2 linked regions of the Arabidopsis thaliana genome follow. The protein of the gene in region 1 interacts with the protein of each later gene in a pairwise test. Each region holds a gene or a part of one and is shown on either strand. Other genes may lie near its edges.

Evidence for each region.
Region 2: the proteins of AT4G36590 (region 1) and AT3G05860 interact in a two-hybrid assay, tested with the Arabidopsis thaliana proteins (one large-scale study listed by BioGRID).

What each region holds. Positions count from the first base shown.
Region 1 is NC_003075.7:17,260,239-17,264,134, reverse strand, and holds AT4G36590 (MADS-box transcription factor family protein), read left to right. Parts: upstream 1-1,907; 5' UTR 1,908-1,945; coding exon 1,946-2,278; intron 2,279-2,575; coding exon 2,576-2,989; 3' UTR 2,990-3,198; downstream 3,199-3,896. Other genes in the region: AT4G36600 (Late embryogenesis abundant (LEA) protein), read right to left, coding at 1-13, 255-487; AT4G36580 (AAA-type ATPase family protein), read right to left, coding at 3,474-3,896.
Region 2 is NC_003074.8:1,750,780-1,754,204, forward strand, and holds AT3G05860 (MADS-box transcription factor family protein), read right to left. Parts: upstream 1,629-3,425; 5' UTR 1,577-1,628; coding exon 1,034-1,576; intron 957-1,033; coding exon 924-956; coding exon of another isoform or gene 876-923; exon of another isoform or gene 834-875; coding exon 627-833; 3' UTR 606-626; downstream 1-605.

The sequences.
Region 1 (3,896 bases):
GCCTCCCAATCCTCTGTTACAATATTGGATCAATCATCTATATATTATCATTCTTAAATCACTTCACAGTTTGAAATGCAAATGATGCGTAACATGCGTTTATATATATACATTTCAAATTTCTCTTAAAACAAAACTCAGATCTACGTTTACAATTTGAAATCAAACACTATGAGAAGATGGTTCCATTAGAAGAAACCAACACAGATCCAAAATAGAAGTATGATCATGCCTAAACAAAAGTTAACGCTTACGTGGAAATTTTGTCGGAAACCCAACCAGCCCAAGAGGCGGTTTTGTCCTTTGTGTCATGAGCCGCATCGGACGCCATTTTCTTAGCGGTCTCGGCTGCGTTTTTAGCATGCTCTGCTTCGTTTCTAACCATATCCTCTGCTGTCTCCGTTCCCCATCCATAGCATTGCTTCTGCCACGTCAGCGTCACCACCGTCGTAAGCATCATAATCATCATCAACGTTCTTCTCTCCATTATTCCTATTCTTTAAAATTCCGATTTTTTGTTTTGTTTCTTGGTTCCAATCTTCATGGAGGAAGTTTCTAGTTATAGATGAGCGAGAGAGGGAGAGATCACATTCCTTTCTTTCACTAGATAAGCGGTTATTGTAAGACACGTGGTTATTCGATGATTACGTGGTTATTCGATGTTTACGTGGCAATTAAAGAGGCGGTTATGCTGGAAGTGCTTGCGACGTGTCCACTTGTGGTTCGATTTTGTAGGGTTAGTGTCTCCCGACCCGAGGTCACGTGGCCGGTCGCGTAGAGGAAGTTTCAATACTTGGAAAGATTAAAATAACCGGTTTAGAAAACCGAAGCCATGCGCTTAGCAGGGTTACAAACCGGATAATCCAGTAAAAAGGTAAATCAGAAAGTGTTTATTTTTTTACCTTTCTTAGTTAATCCAATGTTTTTTTTTTGTCATCTCATTTTTAAAGAAAACTGTTTTTTTTTTGGTTCAACCAAGAAAATTGATTTAAACCATAAAAAAACAAAACTAAGCCCAACAAGAAACCCAGCATGAGCCCAACCGAAAGTGAGAGAGGTGAAGAAGACACCAATTTTAAACGTTTTGACGATACAATTACAAAGTTTTCTAATAAGATAAGTCAGATAGTGTAAACTTTCACAAAAAATCAATTATATAAAATAATTTAAAATATTTATAAGAATCAATAATGATTATTGTAATATTCAAACATTTTATTTAAGAACAAAGATAGTTAAAAATCAACAATATTTGAGTATAAATCATTTTATTTATATCTTAGAAATGTTAATTTCAATAAACATAACTCACTATCATTATGAAAAATATATCTAGTAAATGGTATATATCTAAATTAAAAAAATTTGGGCCCATAACTCAAAATCTTTTGAATTTCATTTAATAATTTTTTTTATTATGTAAAGTACAACTGTATATTTTATCTAGTAATGATTGTGATATCTCAAAAATAGATAAATTTTGTTTTACTGTATAAATATTACTTGCATTAGCTGTATACAAACAAATAATTTAATGGATAATTTTGTTCAAGATTTTTCCCAAAAATATAGATTAAGTATTTTAACAAACAGCTCATAAAATTTTAATGTGCCTCTCATGGGCAGTTGGTGCATACATTTGTCAAACTGTTATGCATTTACCAACTAATATAATGATATTGCATTTGAAATATCATGAATTTTATATCCTTAAGAAATTTTAGAGATAATTATGTCCTTAAGAAATTTCAGAGATAATTATGAAATATTCCTCAAATTGGAAAATTAATTTTTTGGCAAAATTAAGGGTTGAAGGATTATGTTTACTTATAATGGACCTATAATGTATTACATTTCCATATGTAATACACCTGTATAAATATAAAGAACATATTTTATTTCTTAGCATCAAATTTGTCATTTGTTTATTCAAATTTTTGAGAAAATGGTGAGAAGTACCAAAGGTCGTCAGAAAATAGAGATGAAAAAAATGGAAAACGAAAGCAACCTTCAGGTTACTTTCTCAAAAAGAAGATTCGGTCTTTTCAAAAAAGCTAGTGAACTTTGCACATTAAGTGGTGCAGAGATTCTGTTGATTGTGTTCTCTCCTGGTGGGAAAGTGTTTTCTTTTGGCCATCCAAGTGTTCAAGAACTCATTCATCGCTTTTCGAATCCTAACCATAATTCTGCCATTGTCCATCATCAGAACAACAATCTCCAACTTGTTGAAACCCGTCCGGATAGAAATATCCAATATCTCAACAATATACTCACTGAGGTAAACAATTTTGTTTTAAAGAAAAATGCAAGAGAATTATATATATATATATATATATATATATATATATATATATATATATATATATATATATATATGCCAATTCTATGTCTATAACTTAATTTGTTAAGGGAAAAAGAGACCATCAATAGTTAGATTGTTTTCAAATCGTATCCATAGTTAGATTGTTAAAGATATCAAATGGTATCCATAGTTAGATTGTTTTCTTCAAAATGTTCAAATATATAAACCATATCTCGTTTTTTTCACAACATGATGAAATGAATCTCATTGCAGGTGCTGGCAAACCAGGAAAAGGAGAAACAGAAGAGAATGGTTTTGGACCTATTGAAAGAATCCAGAGAACAAGTAGGAAACTGGTATGAAAAAGATGTGAAAGATCTCGACATGAATGAAACCAACCAGCTGATATCTGCTCTTCAAGATGTGAAAAAGAAACTGGTAAGAGAAATGTCTCAATATTCTCAAGTAAATGTTTCGCAGAATTACTTTGGTCAAAGTTCTGGCGTGATTGGTGGTGGTAATGTTGGCATTGATCTTTTTGATCAAAGAAGAAATGCATTCAACTATAATCCAAACATGGTGTTTCCCAATCATACACCACCAATGTTTGGATACAACAATGATGGAGTTCTCGTTCCGATATCCAACATGAACTACATGTCAAGTTACAACTTCAACCAGAGCTAGAGTCTGAAGCTAGAAGAACATCCTAATCAATATTTGCGTTATTTTGGCTATGGTTACTGTTAGGATTGTTCTTGTATTGTGAGACTTAAGTTTGTTTTTTCTTTTAATTTGTTTCAGTTGGTTGGTTTTTCATTTTATTCGTCGTTTGTTTTCCTTTGTTTTTGGATATTTTTGTATCCAGAATAAATTTATTTATCCTTTAATTTTACTTATATTTTTATTTTTATTTTGCTATTTAAGCTTAATGTTATATACTGAAATCAAACCAGATTTACAAATGAACAAAACAATTTTTTAAGAAACCCTCATCAGACAGAAATGAATCTAATGTTAACAACGAGAAGTGTTCATATGTAAGACTTCAAGATTCTGTAAAACTCTTTAACATGTTTAATCTAAAAATTCAATTTTAGGACTCATTTTAAAACAATCAGATTCTTCTTTCTGATCAAGTAAATGACATGTATAATCAAAATCCAAATGACTAAGAGAAGAGTAATGGCTGAAAACCTTCAGAAGCAAGCATATGCCTTCGGTGATGTTCTTCAACCTTATATTCAACAATCTCTTTAAAAAGCTGTGAATCCAAAACACAATCCGCTCGTCCGTACACTCCAGCTTGTACTCCAGCCACAAGCTTTGCAATCTCACGGCCAGAGAATCCTTCTGTCTTCTTTGCAGCCTCAGAAATCACTTTATCAGTTAAGTCTTCTTCAACGGTAATCTTCTGTGACAGCTTCTTAAACAAATGACTCCATTTCGGTTTTGTGTCTTCGTTGTTATCACCCATCTTTAGATATTTGTTGAGATAGAGATTGAGAAGCTTGAAACGTTCTTCTTCCCCTGGAAGTGGGAACTCAATGACTTCATCAATCCTGTCTGTAACCGCACTATCGAGATCTCCACG
Region 2 (3,425 bases), on another chromosome or scaffold:
ATAAATACTTGTGGACAGTAGTAACCTCATATTCTGTATACAAAAGAGAAATTCTTAGTTTGATTTGCCAAAAAAAAAAAAAAAAAAAAAAAACTAAGAATCGTGAAAAGGTGATTGGAGTACTATGTTGGAAGACTCCTTAATGGTCATCAGTACTCATCGGTCTATATTAATTGACTAAATTAGAGTAATGAGTACCATCTATTTGCACCCCCACATGGATCTCCACCCCCATATTGTTTAACAAGGATCAATGTTGCAACCCAAAATAATACAAGGAACAAAACCAAAACTAGAAACTATTATCGATAATGTAAAGATGGAGAAAATATTATTTCTAGTTCATTTTCACATATATGCTAAGGATTACATTATGTTTTTAACCGTTGTTTTATATATATAATTAATAGATTATAAACTAAGTAGTAAAGTTATTTTAGATATTTGTTTAAAAACCAACATTGAAAATATAAAATGATAGTTTTGTGAAAATAAATAAAATTTTAAAACGACATTGAATATATAAAAAAGAGAGAAATAAATTATTCGGCATTAGAACAACATAAAAAACGAATATTGATTAAATAGTTAACTTTAAATCCATGAAATACATAGAGAATACATATCTAGGGTTGTTGGTAGTAAAAGTTGTTATCATCCATCAAAGGATGACTTATTTCCTTAGAATGATTCATCATATGATCATCCAGCCATTCCTCATGTTGATTCTGAATTTGACTCGGATTGTAAATTCCATCTTGAACCAAAATCGGATATCCAAACTGTTGTTGATATTGATATTGATTATGACTAAGATGATTAAAATTTGGATTCTGATCATAAACACCAAATGGATTTATCACTAGAGAATAACTTTACTGGTCAGCATCACTAGATAGAAAATTACTGGAGAAGATATTAACCTGATTTGGTCGCTGGATTGAAGAGATAATAGGCTTCAAAGACGAGAAATCATTGATTAGTCAAGGAGAGTTGAAAACATCGAGATAATTGGAAAGGAATAAGAACTCACTTCAACAACAGATGTTGGTGTCATGGCATTTGTAGCTCCCGAAGATTCTCCAGGTTCAATATGTGATTGATTTATGGTTTTGTTTTTGTGGTGATAAAGTTCTTTAAGATATTGATCAATGTACTTACACAAATCTTCACGGTTTCTATCAGTCAAATTAAGCTTCTCCCCTTTTCCACTAAGAAGTTGGAACATGGCTTCTTTCATCGTCCTCTCCGCATTATCGATCATCTTTTTGTTGTTACTCTCCATAGTTTTTGAGATGTTTTGTCTGATAAAACCTTCGTGGCTCACCATTTTCTTCTCTTGCTCCAACTTTGTCAACATCTCAAAATTTTCCATTACATTTTTAACTTCTGAATTCGATGGCCAGACTTCAGGGTTTGAGTTGAACGGACTATAAATCACTGCACATGCTTCGATTCCGCAGAGAACGGAAAGCTCGTGGATTTTTTTCACAAGCCCTTTCTTTCTCTTATTGAATGTTGCTTTTCTCATTGACTCATTGGTGATGTAAGATAGGTTTAGCTTCTTCCTCGTCATGGTAATGACAACAATAAAAAGGAATTTGTATGTCTAGTATCAAATATGTTTTGTATTGTTGTATGTTGTGTATTGTTTTTATCATGAGTTTGTTTATATGGAACAATCAACTGTTCAAGTGATGATCTCACAAATAGCTGGCAATTAAAAATATTGTAATTAAATGCACCAAAGTTCTTAATTAATATGAAATAATGCATAGTTATGCCACTTGGTACAAATAACAAAAATTATTGGCCAAAGTTTTTGAGTTGGCTACATCAAGATTACATCATAAATTCTGGTTATGAATGAATAATATGAGAACAATAAAAGAACTTTCCATTTAGATGATGAAGATATATATATTGTAATTAAATTTAGAGATTGTTTTCTATGTAAGTATGTACATCAAAATACAAATTATAAATATTTATTATTTTAGTTTGAATAACAGCTAATATGTACATTCAATAAAATTATTTACCTTTCGTGGACAATAGGACTAATAACTAGATTTAGAAAATGTATTCAATACATTGCATCTTCTCTAATGATTTATATTTGGATATGATAAAATACTTTTTGGTATTCAACTAATTTTACAGGTTGTCAAGTATATTACGTAAGATTTTGTAAAAAAAAAATTATTCTTTTAAATAAGATTTACTAGTACTAAAGGTATTTAACTGGTTGTAAACTTGTAGTGTTCTAGTAATATTGAAAATAAACATATTCTTCGTAAAAAATGATCAAACATTCTCAGATATATGAATGATCAAATCCAAAAAGAGATATGTTTATATCCAACATGTATATATCATAATTAAAAAAGTTTTAATATAATCCATCGTTTCAATACTTTTAAGAATTAAGATATCGAGATTAGTGACATCATATGATCTCTTCATAACTTTCGTAGATTGGATAAGTAAAAACAAACCCGTTATTTGGGCTTTTAATCTTAAAGCCCAATTTATTTCTCGGGCCAAAATCAATGAAACACGTCCGTCTCTTTTTCTCCTTCGTTTCGTTTCGTCACGCTCTTTCCCAAGTCCGATCCTCTCGCCATTGCCAGCAAAATTTCTTTCCCGGTTAAGAATTTTTCTATTTCGATTTCATCGTTCGGCTACACCATCGATCTTCACACTTATTTTTTAGGTATGTTCTTGTTGATCTTGTTTTTCGGACTTTGTAATGTGGTACCAGTTTTAGATAATTAGTTCTTGATAATTACGCTCAAATTCCGTTGCTTGGCACTGATTTATTCTGCGTTCGGTACTGATGATCGTTCTTCATTCTCATTCCGATGATTCTGTGGAGTTCACTGATCTAAGTTTGATTTTGGCATACCAGTTGTTCGATTAAATGCCTGAAAGAGAAAACATTCAATTCGTAAATTTCATATTTTGTCTTTGTTTTGGTTTATGATATTTTTATCTAATCTTAAGGCTTAACTTTCAAATACGTCTTGTATACGTGTTGCACAGAAGAGTTATACCTTGAGTTTTTGTTTGTGTAGTCTTTTGTTAGTAGTCTCTAATTTTACGAGTCTGTAACCATCTTTAGGCTTATAACAGGGTTTTTGAAACTGATTGAAGGTTTTTATTTATCCAGGAGGAAGCTATGAAAGTCAAGATCTTGCGTATCCTTTTGTTGCTTCATCTCTTCTTAGCTTTTTTGGGGGAAAGTTTATATTAGGTTAAGTGATAAATCATCCCAGGACTTTTGATGGTGATCATCTGATATGATAATAAACATCTTAAGTCTGTTTATCGTGTATTAGCTTTACCGAGTTAGATTCCCAGCTTGATGATTCATAATAACTTTTTGCATCTTCCATTGGTTTATTTAATAGACTAGGTTTGTT